Linked DNA regions of Anolis sagrei. The protein of the gene in region 2 interacts with the protein of the main gene of each other region in a biochemical or structural test. Links are inferred from orthologs where the notes say so. Each region holds a gene or a part of one and is shown on either strand. Other genes may lie near its edges.

Region 1 (7,443 bases), on a different chromosome or scaffold from region 2:
TTTTATTGCAATGTGTATTTTTGTATTGTAATTTGTTTTTCGGGCTTGGCCCCATGTAAGCCACTCCAAGTCCCCGTTGGGGGAGATGGCAGTGGGGTATAAATAAAGATTATTATTATTATTATTATTATTATTATTATTACTACTACTACTACTACTAGCCGTCCCCTGCCATGCGTTGCTGTGGCCCAGTCTGGTGATCTGGAAAATAAAGTAATGAGAAAGTGTTGGTTTCTAATATATGTAATGTCTTGATGCTTGTGTGTAAACAATATTTCTTTCTGTTTCTTTGCCAGTGTTCATGTGGAGTTGTCTGGTTTGCCCACTCTGGAACACACAACATATCATCGTCCTTCTTTAGGGATCCCTTTCAAATCTTTGATACTGCATCAGTCATATACATATATGTGTGTGTGTGAATGGCTAAATGGCTCTTTGTCAAGAGGGCTTTATGTTTTCTTGCCCTGGTGAAGGGAATTGGACTGGATGGCCTTAAGGCAGCCTTTCTCAACCTGGGGTTTGGGACCCTTGGAGGGGGTTGCAAGGGAGCATCAGAAGGGTCGCCAAAGACCACCAGAAAACACAGCATTTTCTGTTGGTCATGAGGGTTCTGTGTGGGATGTTTGGCCCAATTGTTGTAGGTGTGGTTCAGAATGCTCCTTGATTGTAAGTGAACTATAAATCCCAGTAACTACAATTCCCAAATGTCAAGGCCTATTTCCCCCAAACTCCATCTGTGTTTATATTTGGGCATGTTAAGTATTCGTGCTAAGTTTGGTCCAGATTCATCATTGTTTTGAGTCCACAGTGCTCTCTGGATGTAGGTGAACTACAACTCCAAAACTCAAGGTGAATACCCACCAAACCCTTCCAGTATTTTCTGTTGGTCATGGGAGGACTGTGTGCCAAGTTTTGTTCAATTCCATCATTGGTGGAGTTCAGAATGCTCTTTGATTGTAGGTGAACTATTAATCCCAGCAACTACAACTCCTAAATGTCAAAATCTATTTCCCCCAAACTCCACCCATGTTCACATTGAACATATTGATTACTGGTGCCATGTATAAATATGTGAGAGGAAGCTACAGGGAGGAGGGAGCAAGCTTGTTTTCTGCTTCCTTGGAGACTAGGATGCGGAACAATGGCTTCAAACTACAAGAGAGGAGATTCCATCTGAACACGAGGAAGAACTTCCTGACTGTGAGAGCCGTTCAGCAGTGAAACTCTCTGCCCCGGAATGTGGTGGAGGCTCCTTCTTTGGAAGCTTTTAAACAGGGGCTGAATGGCCATCTGTCAGGGGTGATTTGAATGCAACATTCCTGCTTCTTGGCAGGGGTTGGACTGGATGGCCCATGAAGTCTCTTCCAACTCTTTGATTCTATAATTCTATGTTGACATTGAGCATATTGAGTATTGGTGCCCACCAAACCTTTCTAGTGTTGTCTGTTGGTCAGGGGAGTCCTGTGTGCCAAGTTTGGTTCAATTCCATCGTTGGTGGAGTTCAGAATGCTCTTTGATTATAGGTGAACTATAAATCCCAGAAACTACAACTCCCAAATGACAAAATCATAATGTTTTGAGTGATGGTCACTCCTTGTGTTGTGAGATGTTTTGTTGCCAAATTTGGTGTGATTTCGTTCATTGGTTCTTTTGTTTTTAAGGTACTCATTACGCACAGAGCATTTATAGATAGATAGATAGATAGATAGATAGATAGACAGATAGATAGATAGATAATTATTATGCCTCCATTTACTGTATACTTCGTTTGAAAAATAATTCATGGATCTTATCTGGATGAGCCAACAATGTGATGTGGCGGCAAAAAAAGGCAATGGGATTTTGGCCTGCATCAATAGGAGCATAGTGTCTAGATCTAGGGAAGTAATGCTACCCCTCTATTCTGCTTTGGTTAGACCACATCTGGAATATTGTGTCCAATTCTGGGCACCACAATTCAAGAGAGATATTGACAAGCTGGAATGTGTCCAGAGGAGGGCAACTAAAACGATCACGGGTCTGGAGAACAAGCCCTATGAGGAGCGGCCTAAGGAGCTGGGCATGTTTAGCCTGAAGAAGAGAAGGCTGAGAGGAGATATGATAGCCATGTATAAATATGTGAGAGGAAGCCACAGGGAGGAGGGAGCAAGCTTGTTTTCTGCTTTCTTGGAGACTAGGACCAGAACAATGGCTTCAAACTACAAGAAAGGAGATTCCATCTGAACATGAGGATGAACTTCCTGACTGTGAGAGCCGTTCAGCAGTGGAACTCTCTGCCCCGGAATGTGGTGGAGGCTCCTTCTTTGGAAGCTTTTAAACAGAGGCTGAATGGCCATCTGTCAGGGGTGATTTGAATGTAATATTCCTGCTTCTTGGCAGGGGTTGGACTGGATGGCACATGAGGTCTCTTCCAACTCTTTGATTCTATGATTCTATGTTCACATTGAGCATATTGAGTATTGCTGCCCACCAAACCCTTCTAGTGTTGTCTGTTGGTCAGGGGAGTCCTGTGTGCAAAGTTTGGTTCAATTCCATCGTTGGTGGGGTTCAAAATGCTCTTTGATTATAGGTGAACTATACATCCAAGAAAGTACAACTCTTAAATGACAAAATCATCTATTTTGAGTGATGGTCTCTCCTTGTGTTGTGAGATGTTTTGTTTCCAAATTTGGTGTGATTTCGTTCATTGGTTCTTTTGTTTTTAAGGTACTCATTACGCACAGAGCATTGATAGATAGATAGATAGATAGATAGATAGATAGATAGGTTATTATTATGCTTCTTGGCAGGGGGTTGGACTGGATGGCCCATGAGGTCTCTTCCAACTCTAGGATTCTATGATTGTGCTTTTCCTGCGTGGCAGAAGGGGGTTGGGCTGGATGGCCCAAGTATGGCCTCTTGGATTTCGACAGGATCATTGGAGTGGGGTTCGCTGTCATGGGGGCGGAGGGGAGAGGAAAAAGGACAGGGAAAGAGGAGGAGGGGGTGGGATGACAGTTGGGTGTGCAATGCATTCTGGGAGTTGTAGTGCGCAGCCCAGTAAGACTACGCGCAAGAGCAGGGAGCCGAGGACTCAAACTCCCACAATGCAGCGGAGAGAGAGAGAGAGAGAGAAGCAGAGCGAAGGGGAAGCAGAGGGGTGTTCCTTTCTCCCTCCCCCCCCCCCCGCCAGAGTGGGCAGAAAAGGCGACGGAAGGGGAGGCTTGAGGGAGGCCCACACACACACACACACACACACGCCCCCTTCCTGCGCCGCCGAACAAAGCGGGGCCAACTGCGTCACAGTTCCCTCAGAGTCCCACCGAGGGCTCTTTCCCTCACAAACCGATGGCTTCCTCCTTTCCCCACCCCTTCCACATCCCCTCTTCCCCTCCTCCCGCCTCCACTCCGCTTCCTTCGCCGAGCTCCCCACTTACTGACAGCGGCGGCATCCGAGTGCATTTTCGTGCCGCCCTCGAGCGAGCCCCCGCGCCCACAGCGCTCCGGCCGGCTCCCTCAAGCGTTCCGCTCGCTGCTCTCCCGAACGCCGTCCCGCCCCGCCCACTCCCGGCTTCCATTGGACGACGCTGCTTTTCCCCGCCGCCGCGATACGACGCCTCGCCCGCCACTCCTCAGGCCACGCCCTTCACGCTTCGCCCATTGGTTGAGCGCTCTACAAAGGGAAGCCACCTGCTCCGCGCTCGCCATTGGGCCGCGGCGGCCGCCAATCACCGTACCTTCAGCGCGTGCGGAGGAGCGATCCTAACAGCGGTGTGGTCGCTGAGGTTGAGGGGGGGCGTGGCGAGTTCGAGGCCACGCCCTCCTTGGGAGGCGATTGGCTTAAAAGGTCGGTGATGGTATTAAAAGGGGGCGGGGCGTTTGGGTAAACAGCTGCCGCTTGTCATTAAGGGAAATGAGTGATGCGAAGGGTGGACAAGGCATTGGATGATAGGGTTGTTGTAGGTTTTTTCGGGCTATATGGCCATGTTCTAGAGGCATTTTCTCCTGACTCTTCACCTACATCTATGGCAAGCATCCTCAGAGATAGTGAGGTCTGTTGGAACTAGGGAAAAGGGTTTATATATCTGTGGAGTGACCAGGGTGGGACACAGAACTCTTGTCTGTTGGAGCTAAGTGTGAATGTTTCAACTGACCACTCAACACACACACACAAAATAGTTCTGCAAGATAGGTTCTGTAGGTCTGTTCTTAAGTTGAACTTGTATATAAGTCATTATATATATATATATGAAATTGCATGTAAAAATGCACCTGTTCCAACTTGCATACAAATTCAACTTAAGAACAAACCTACAGATCCTATCTTGTTTATTTTTTCGGGCTACATGGCCATGTTCTAGAGGCATTCACTCCTGACGTTTCGCCTGCATCTATGGCAAGCATCCTCAGAGGTAGTGAAGTCTGTTGGAACTAGGAAAATCTATATAAATAAAAATGTAATGTTAGTTCGTGCTACCATCAGAACTCAAAAACCACTGGGGGAATTGGCACCAAATTTGGACACAAGACACCTAACCGTCCAATTTATGTCCTCCACTCAAAAAAATTGATTTTGTCATTTGGGAATTGTTGCTGGGATTTATAGTTTACCTACAATCAAAGAGCATTCTGAACTCCACCAATGATGGAATTGGGCCACACTTAGCACACAGGGCTCCCATGACCAACAGAAAAAACTGGAATGGTTTGGTGGACATTGGCCTTGAGTTTGGGAATTATAGTTCACCCACATCCAGAGAGCACTGTGGACTCAAACAGTGATGAATCTGGAGCAAACTTGGCATGAATCCTCAATATGCTCAAATGTGAATACTGGTGGAGATTGGGGAAAATAGAACTTGACATTTGGGAGTTGTAGTTGCTGGGATTTATCATTCACCTACAATCAAAGAGCATTCTGAACTCCACCAATGATGGAATTAAACCAATTTTGGCACACAGAACCTCCACGACCAACAGAAAATACTATACAAGGGTTTGGTGGGCACTGACCTTGAGTTTTGGAGTTGTAGTTCACCTACATCCAGAGAGCACTGTGGACTCAAACAATGATGGAACTGGACCAAACTTGGCACAAATACTCAATATGCCCAAATGTGAACACTGTTGGAGTTTGGGGAATAGAGACCTTGACATTTGGGATTTATAGTTCACCTACAATCAAAAAGCACTCTGAACCCAGCCCACAATGGATCTGCACCAAACTTAGCACACTACCTACATGGCCAACATTGAATACTGGTGGGGTGGGATGGGGAGTATTTTTGAATTCTGGGAGTTGTAGTTCACCAACACCAAAAAGGAAGAGAAGGACAGATGGAGAGATCTTTAGCCTTCTCTGCCAAAAGGGTTCCTATGACCATCAGAAATATATGTTTTCTGATGGACTTTGGTGACCCCTCTGAAACCCACTCGTGACCCCCTCAGGTGGTCTCCAGGTTAGGAAGCACTGTTCTAGAGGCATTCTTTTTTTTAAGATATTTTATTATGTTATACACACAGATCGATAAGCCAAATTCCAAGTGTTACACATATAAATCCTGAGTAATTCAACAAATATTGAAGACATTATGCTAATTTACACTGGTGTATATTACATTATTTCCACCTTCCCTCCCTCTCCCTCCCTCTTCAACCACAGTATATTTCTACTAATCTTGCAGATCCAGCCACTGGCATTCTCTCCTGACGTTTCGCCTGCATCTATGGCAAGCATCCTCAGAGGTAGTGAGGTCTGTTGTGAAAAGAAGCAAGGGAGCTGAGGGATAATTTATTGTTGCCTCCAATTTGAAAGGATCCAGTATTCAGGAGATTTGCAACTGGCCGATTTGCAATGGAGGTTTCCGATTAGGGAACAAATCTACCATCAAGTTGGAAGGGAGGCTGTTCAATTGCACCTCCTCCTTTATTAAGAAAGTAATAACTTAGTAGTAATTACACTGTATATACTGTAGCGTGACTGGAGAGAAGAATGTAGATTTATTTCGTTACTTTTCCCTGCGTTTCTGCCACCACGTGAGGTAAGTTGTAATATTGTGAGAAATGGCACTTTGTACCCAGAATAGACAGAGCTGAGGCAGTCTTCAAATAAAAGTTAACAATTTTATTAAGTACACAGCGTGTGGTTGCAAGACGTAACTTTTGTTATAGAACTTAGAACAGTGCTTGGTTAGTTGAATGTTACACTCTTTCAGGTTACACAGTATCTTCCTGAGGTGAATCACTTATTACAAAACAAAGTTTCAATACAGGGATGTCTCCCTTATCTGATCCTCCCTTGATCAGATACTTAATAAGATTATTCTTTAGCCTTTCCTTAGACTAAAGGAATACTGGCTTCGTTTCCCTTATCAGCCTCTCTAGGCTAAGAAACTTCCAGTAGCTTAATCTGGTTTTCCAAACCCTCAAAACTTTGCTTCACAATTTACTCTCTTTCAGCTACAACCTCCTAATCCTTTCCTCTACCAACTGCTCTAAACCTAAACCCTAACTCCTCACTCCTCGGAACCTAAACCCTAACTGATTTTTAACTGTCCTTCTTTCAAACTGTCCCCTCTAAGCTCCTCCCACTTCTCTCTCACCTGCATCGGTCTCCATGGCAACACACATGGAGGACTCCTCTGACTTAGGCCGCTCCAGCATTACTGCAGCCAATCTAAACACAAATACAGTTAAAATCATACAATTTATAATCAACTCCTGTACAGTTGAAACTAGGAAAAGGGGGTTTATATATCTGTGGAATGACCAGGGTGGGACAAAGGACTCTTGTCTGTTGGAGGTTGATGTGAATGTTTCAACTGACCACCTTGATTAGCATTTGATGGCCTGGCAGTGCCTGGGGCAATATTTTGTTGAGAGGTGATTAGATGTACCTGATAGGCATAGGATTACAGCCTGTGTTGGACGGGGTTACACTCCCCCAGGATCGCAGCTTGGGTGTGATCTTGGACTCGTCTCTGAGCCTGGTTTCAAGGGTGACCAGGGGAGCATTCGCACAGTTAAAACTTGTGCGCCAGCTGCGCCCGTACCTTGGGAAGTCTGACTTGGCCGCGGTAGTCCACGCTCTGGTTACATACCGTATAGACTACTGCAACAGGAGCAGCACTCAGGGAGCATACTACTCCTCTGTTGCGCCAGCTCCACGGGCTGCCAGTTTGCTACCGGGCACAATTCAAAGTGCTGGTGTTAGCCTATAAAGCCCTAAACGGTTCTGGCCCTACTTACCTCTCCGAACGCATCTCCTCCTATGAACCAGCTAGGACACTAAGATCATCTGGGGAGGTCCTGCTCTCTGTCCCGCCTGCATCACAGGCACGCTTGGTGGAGACGAGAGACAGGGCCTTCTCAGTGGTGCCCCCTCAGCTGTGGAACGCCCTGCCTGCAGATATCAGATTGGCCCCCTCCCTGCTGGCGTTCCAGAGGAAAGTGAAGACCTGGCTG
Region 2 (7,665 bases):
TGATATTGAGGAACAAGATTTCCTGTGTTGAGGACTGATTTTTAAAGGAGTTAGAGTTGTATAGAAGGTGTGTTAGGTTGCCACCTAGTGGTATTTTTGTTTTGACTCCTTTAAAAGTATTTTCGCGATTGCCTTCTTGGACGTAATACTTTCTAGACATGTAGGACTACAAATCCCAATCCAACAACTAAGGAATATGGGAGGTATAGTCCAATGCTTCTGGAAAATGCTACCTTGGGAAAGGCTAAACTGAAGCATAGATTTGTTTGGGAAAGGTGAATAAAGAATAGTTCATTTGTTCCAGAAAAAAGAGTTTTTGTTGACTAATAATAATAATGGTGCTCCATGCAGTCATGCTGGCCACATGACCTTTGAGGGTGTCTGTGGACAACTCCAGCTCTTCAGCTTCGAAATGGAGATGAACACCACCACCCGGAGTCAGACATGACTTGACTTAATGTCAGGAGAAACCTTTACCTAATAGTAACAATGTGGCTACGAGAATCCAGTGGTGAATATTAAGTGCAGAATTCTTTATTTATCTGTATGAGGACACAAAGAAGGATGCAGAAAAAAAGAATGTAAAAAAATTCTTCTTGTGTCTACAATTTTGACTATATTCAATTTTCAACAACATTTATTAAACCAAGCTTTTGAAGTTACAGATGTTCTTAGTCTTAAGATTCTGAGAAGGTCCTTTCTTGCCTCTGAAGAATCAAATGTTCTAGACATTAGAACCATATTCTTCAATATCAGTTTGAAACGGCATTAAATGGTAAGTGCAGATGGCCCCTTAGTGAGGACTCCAACCCACCCAGTAGTCAGATACTCAGAAGGCTTTCTTACGACAAAATCAGATATGGGACAGCTGCGGTAGCATAGTGGTCTGCATGTTGGACTAGGACACTGGCAGACCAGGGTTTGAATCTATTGTGAGAATCCCATAACCCGCCCTGCTAGACAAAAATGGCCTTATTAAGCCAGAAGCTCGCTGGACCCTACCCTGCCCCATTGACATCAGCGCTAGCATTGCACATGGTGGGTTTGAAACAAGTTCCTACTGATAAGAACTAGACAAAAGGAGGGTGCAGAGTAGAGGATACAGACCTTGATGTGAAATTGCCTGATTGTCTTAACCAACTCAGTCTGACAGTGATGGAGAGAAGCCCCAAAAGGGTGGCACAACCCTGTGAAACTATAAAAGCAAATGAACTATCACTGCTTGGGATATTGCCATTTTGGAGGCAACACTGGGAAAGTGAAAAGGAGAAACGCACCAAGAGGAAGGTGAGTCAAGTCAAGTAAACCTTTGTTCTGACTGCTTTCCATCTGGAAACCCATATCCTCAATGTGAAAGACTGTGTGGATTCAGAAAAGTTCACAGTCATTTATGGACCCACTTCCAAGACTCTTCATCTGGAAAACAATCGGTCAGGATGGATAATAATTTAATAATAATTTCTTACCCGCAAACCACAGACCACCTATTTAAATGCAGCCTAAGCCCTGCCACATTCACAATGGAGCATCTTTTTATAGCAACACCAGAGGACTGCAAGTGGCCAGCTACTAGTCAATGGACATTTAATAGAATGCCAAGTTTTTAAAACTTTGCCTTCAAAATGACGGTACCCCAAGCAGTGAAAGTTCATTTGCTTTCTCAAATACATTGGTTCGCTCCTGATACGATAAATAAATACCCACCTCTCCTCATGGCTCAAGGCAGGTTACAAAACAATTAAAATACATAAATGCAGCAAAACACTACAAATACACACAATAAAATGTACCTCCATAAAAGTTGCTTATGATGGTTTCATGAAGATATTATTATTATTATTATTGTTATTAATAATAATATCTTCATGAAACCATCATGAAACCATCTTCATGAAACCTTCATGAAACTGCCAAAATAGAATGGGGCTGCATTTCATCTAGGGCCTACCTTTACTATGAACTATCCCTCCACCGTCCCCAAAGCAACACGAGGCCTTCTGAATCTTGCTATAAATGCATATGAGCCTAGCCATACAGATTAATAAGGCATTTTACCTCCCTCCTGAAGGCATCAGATCCCTTCCGATATTGGAAACTGAGCAGGGCCAATCTTCATAACTATGTTGATAGGACAGGGTTTTTTTTCTGTGTCCTGAGCAACTTGAGAATTTGCAAGTGAGAGAATTGGCCGTCTGCAAGGACATTGCCCAGGGGACACCTGGATGTTTTGATGTTTTACCATCCATGTGGGAGGGTACTCTCATGTCCCCACATTGAGAGCTGGAGCTGATAGAGGGAACTCAACCTGCTCTCCCTGGATTTGAACCTCCAACCTGTCGGTCTTCAGTCCTGCCGGCACAAGAGTTTAACCCATTGTACTCCCAGGGGCTTCATGGGACAGGGTATATTTTGGAGAAAAGAAGTGACAGCAAAAGTATGATAGCTGGGACTCAACGCTACCCTAGTTACATAACACGGCTCTGAATTAAGGAAGGGAAGAGGTGCACAAGACAGCAGAGCGAGTGAGAGACGCAGCTGCGTCAGAGTCCTGGGAACTTTGCTCGCCAGAAAGGCGGAGAGGAAACATTTCTACCCCGTTTACCATCTTCGTAAGCCATTGTTTATAATTTAACAGTAAATAACTCTAAGGTACTTCACTCGCCTTAAGCAGTATGCTTGGCTGTTTGTTGTCCCCCACCCATCTTTTCTGACCCGCTTTGTGCATGTCTTCCCTTCATTAATTCTGCCCCGCATTGCGCAACCAGCGAAGGTTTCCAACTACTACTGTAGAATCCCAGCTGTCATACTTTTGCCGGTGACAATCTTTTCTTGCATAGGAGCTTCAGGGAGCTGTAGTAGGCTGTTAGGAATGGTGGGAGTTGAAGTCCAAAACACCTGGAGGGCCCAAGTTTGCTCATGCCTACCCTATAGACCATAAATAAAGTATTATTATTATTATTATAGGAAAACTCACAATTTAAATTCATGGGAATTTATTTGTCGTGTCAGAGCAGCCAGTCCATTATATTACATTTCTAACAGAACAAAGCAAACAAACAGAAAAATACACAACTTGTGAGTTTGGTAGCTGGTTAAATGTCCTTTGACCAGTATCTGGCCACTTGGAGTGCTTCTGGTGTTGCTGCAAGAAGGTCCTCCATTGTGCATGTGGCTGGGCTCAGGTTGCATTGCAGCAGGTGGTCAGTGGTTTGCTCTTCTCCACACTCGCATGTCGAGGATTCTACTTTGTAGCTCCATTTCTGAAGGTTGGCTCTGCATCTCGTGGTGCCAGAGCGCAGTCTGTTCAATGCCTTCCAAGTCGCCCAGTCGCCCAATCCCATGAATTGCTGGTCGCTTCTGGCCACAGATGCGACCAGCAATTCATGGGAATGCCATACGCCGACACAACCCCCTGAAGACACAACCAATAAAGAACAACACCCACAAAACAGGGAATTCCAGACAGGAAACATTCAGGGCCAGCTAACACCTCCCAACAAAGGATCCCCCAGGCTTTGAAGCTGCAATGCTATTCAATACTAATCAAGGTGGACAATTGCAACATTCACACTTGCCTCAAGCAGACAAGAGTTTTCTTCCATCCTGGACATCCCACAGATAGATAATCCTCACTTGCCTAGTTTCCAACAGACTTCACACCCTCTGAGGATGCCTGCCATAGATGTGGGCGAAACGTCAGGAGAGAATGTTTCTGCGACATGGCCAGACAGTCCTGAAAACTGACAGCCACCCAGTGATTCCGGCCATGAAATCCTTCGACCACACAGGCCATTCGGGGAAGCCTAAGGGCTGCGGCCTCTCCTCTCCCTCTCAGTCCCTCCTCGTGTCTTCAAAGGCCTCTCCTCCATCCTCCTCGCTCCCTTCGACGTCGACAAACCTCCACATTTCACCTCCATTCAATAACAATCTTCTCCGTCTCCCGTTACATTGAGAAAGCCGAAGAAGCCTTCAGCGCATGCGCACTCCCCTCCCCTTTCCATCCGAAGGAAGCTCTCACTTATTTATTTAATTTGCCGGAGCGGAAGTGGGCCAGCAGGTTGGCCCTCGGCGCTTTCCGTAGTTCAGGAAGTACCAATTCTCTTCATGCTCGGCGGGGGAGGAAGGCCAAGGCGTGCACCTCTTCTCACGGAGCCTGACCTAGTCGACTTAGATGGAGGCTGTGGCGCGTCCAGAATAGAAGTCTTGAGAGGGAGAGAAGGAGAGAAGGCCGGCTCCTTGTCGGCTGCCAGAACTCCCGCCTTCCCTCCCTCTTTTCCTCGCCTGCTTCGCGGTTGCGCCGGGCTGCTGGGAAGGCAGTGGGCGGGGTCAACGGGCAGCCGTGGCGGCTGGGTAATGGCAGCCCAGTGAAGAGGCTTCGGGGCGGCCAGAGAGAGAGAGACAGAGAGAGAGACGGCGGAGGGGGAGGACGGGGAGACGACGCGGGCCCGGGCCTCTCCTGTTGCCAGGTAACCCCGCGAAGGAAGGAAGGAGGGGAGGGACCCCGCCTTCTGACCCCCCCTCCCTCCCTCCCCACACCCCTTGGCCGCCTCTTCCTCCTCCTCTGGGGCGCCCCGTGCATTCTTTCCCTGCAACACCATGGCCCGACTTTGGCCTCCTCCCCCTCTCACTATATCTCTCTACTATAGTAGATCTGGGCAAACTTGGGCCCTCCAGGTGTTTTGGACTTCAACTCCCACCATTCCTAACAGCCTACTACAGCTCCCAGAAGCCTCCAGCCTGCCAGGGGCTTCTGGGAGCTGTAGTAGGCTGTTAGGAATGGTGGGAGTTGAAGTCCAAAATACCCAAGTTTGCCCAGGCCTACCCTATAGACCAGTGGTTCTCAACCTAGGGGTTGCGGGGGTGGGGGGTGGGGGGGTTGTCAGAGGAGTCGCCAAAGACCTTCAGAAAACACAGTATTTTCTGTAGGTCGAGGGGGTTCTGCATGGGAAGTTTGGGCCAATTGTATCGTTGGTGGGGTTCAGAATTCTCTTTGATTGTAGGTGAACTATAAACCCCAGCAACTGCAGACAAGGGTTCTTTCTCCCACCCTGGACATTCCACAGATATATAAACACCACTTGTCTATTATATATTATTATTTATTAACTTTATTTGTACCCCGCTAGCATCTCCCGAAGGACTCGATGCGGCTTACATAGGCCAAGGCCTCAAAACTCAACATAACAATACAACACCTAAAGCAAATTAAAAACAGTTAAAGCAATATTAACAACAAGCAATAAACAATACATCAAGACACTATAAAACTGGGCCGGGCCAGAGTAATGGGTACAAGATTAAAAGTGCTGATGTGACAGGAGGTATGTGGGATTATAGGGTAAGTGCAGTGTGCAGCAATCTTAGTTCTACTAAAGTGCTTCTGGGACTTCGTATTGGAGATTTCTAATCTGGAAAGGCACATCGGAACAGCCAGGTCTTCAAGTTCTTTCTAAAGACTGCCAATGTAGGGGCCTGTCTAAGATCTTTTGAAAGGGTGTTCCACAGTTGGGGGGCCACCCAAACTTGTCTAGTTTCCAACAAACCTCACAAACTTTGAGGATGCTTTATTGTGTATTATTTTGATATGTTTTACTCACTTGAGGCATTGAATGCTTGCCTTTTTGTATGTATAAACTTTATGATGAGAGGGTAGTCTAGAAATAAAGGTTTGATTATTATTATTATAGATGTGGGTGAAACATCAGGAGAGAATGCTTCTGGAACATGGCCATGCATCCTGGAAAACTCACAGCAATCCTTTGCTCTTCTTTTCTCTCTCTGTGTTGCTTGTTGCCTGTCAAAATACTTATAGGTAATACGTTTCATGCACTTTCTTTGCATCGCTGCAGGTTGGGTTCAGACAAAGTTAGGCTCCATTGAAACCAGTGAAACTTCAAAGCTCATCTAGCTTAGTCTGGATTCAGCCTTATGAGTCCAGGCATTTATGAAAATAACTTAGATGTGTTGTAGTCAAGTAGGCTCCTTGTTCTCGCTTCAGAAACCACAAGAAGTCTGTAGTATATATCACTGAACGACTGGAGGAAGGGATGATGCTGTTCAATCCACCATTTCTGGTTTGCTTTCATTTCAGGTCATAAAATGAGATAAAAAGTGATGGTTATAGGAATCCTGGGAGTAGGAAGTACAACTTACTTGTGACCCCATAGCAAACTCATTCAGGTTTGTTCTCTGATACCGTTGAACATAGGACCAGGTTTAAATGGTTTGAAGGTAGGAGAATAGATTTTCATTGAACATTAGAAAAAAGTTCTTAAGAGCTGTCCAGGACTGGAATAATCTACCTAGAAATATGATGGAATCTGTTTCTCTGGGAATCTTCAGAAAGAGACTGGACAAGCTACCTGCTAGAGATGGGAGTTGGTTAGATGCCGTGACTTATGGAGCCCTTCTAGTTCTAATGATTCATTACATTATCTCAGCAAAACAATATAGATGTTTTGCTCTTCAAAACAACTAGCTGCCATTTATTTACAGTTTGTATCTATAATTTGGAACCTTAAAACATCCATAGCATATTTGTTTAATTCAGAGCTCTTTTTGCTTCAAAAAAGAAAATCTACAGAAATTATCTGTAGAGGCCTGAATTAAAGGTATGAACAGCTGTAGCAAACATAATTATTGTATCACCTGTGTGTATTCTAGGTCAGTTCTTCTCAAGAATCCTGGCATGGAAAATCAGCAGTTTTTCCTAGGGGACTGGTATCCTATGTGTGTCCATTAGCTACAATTATGTCTCTCTGTCTTTCTTTCAAATTCACCAAAGACCAGCATTCAGTGACTCAAAATGGCACAAGTACTATCACTTTGAGCTATGCTGTTCTAGGAAACCTCTTTTAGAAAGGCTCTTGGAATGATGTACATACAAAAAGGGGGGGGGGGGGATTCTGACTGCTACATATCATAAGTCAGGAGTGCAATACCTTTATTCCCAGTCACCAACTGGAAACTGTAGTAACAACAACAAAAGTTAAGTTTGTCGCATTATCTTTAACTCTAGGTATTACTCCTTTTAGATTTTGAAATATCTCCATGAACTGAAATTATTGCTAGATGTAAACTGAAAATACTGTATCACTTTTCTTTTGAATGTTTTTCAAAGTCTCTTGTTGAGTAAGTGTCGCTTTCTGCGGCGTCTTTTGCATCTTCTTGTTTCCTTCCATTTATCATTTTGGCCTAGTTCCTCACCTAAAATATCTCTCTCTCACTGCTTAGGGAAGAAGTTGTAACTGTAACCCGAATTATGCTTTTCTCATTTCAGTTCCATCTCTCTCTCTCTCTCTCTCTCTCTCTTTTTGTTATCCTTGGCTTTCTTTATAAGCCTTTTTTTTAGATATGGTTCCCAAGTAGTTATTTGAATAAAAATAATTATGTTATGTAGTGGAATCTAACTTACCAAAAAAAGCTAAATCTGGCAGTTCTTTAAGCTAATGTTTGCTCTGCTGTTAAATTGTTCTAGATAGCAGGCTACTTCATCTGGTTTATTAAAGTAGTAGAGTTGCATACACAGCTGAATATAATTAATTATTGATGCTTTCCAGTCTTGATAAACATTGTATTATCTAAACACCATTTTTATATTATATTTACATATAACTTGTAAGCTGCACTGAGTCCCCTTCGCGTTGAGAAAGGCGTATATAAATG

What was found.
Region 1: of the proteins of CUL2 (region 2) and DCUN1D4, one has a biochemical effect on the other in vitro, tested with the Homo sapiens proteins (2 studies listed by BioGRID, with this or other methods). The link is inferred for Anolis sagrei from reciprocal best matches to the Homo sapiens genes CUL2 and DCUN1D4.

The regions. Positions count from the first base shown.
Region 1 is NC_090025.1:75,561,011-75,568,453, forward strand, and holds the start of DCUN1D4 (DCN1-like protein 4), read right to left. Parts: upstream 3,535-7,443; 5' UTR 3,442-3,534; coding exon 3,417-3,441; intron 1-3,416. UniProt on the Homo sapiens protein: Contributes to the neddylation of all cullins by transferring NEDD8 from N-terminally acetylated NEDD8-conjugating E2s enzyme to different cullin C-terminal domain-RBX complexes which are necessary for the activation of cullin-RING E3 ubiquitin ligases (CRLs).
Region 2 is NC_090026.1:114,118,930-114,126,594, reverse strand, and holds the start of CUL2 (cullin-2), read left to right. Parts: upstream 1-4,049; 5' UTR 4,050-4,466; intron 4,467-7,665.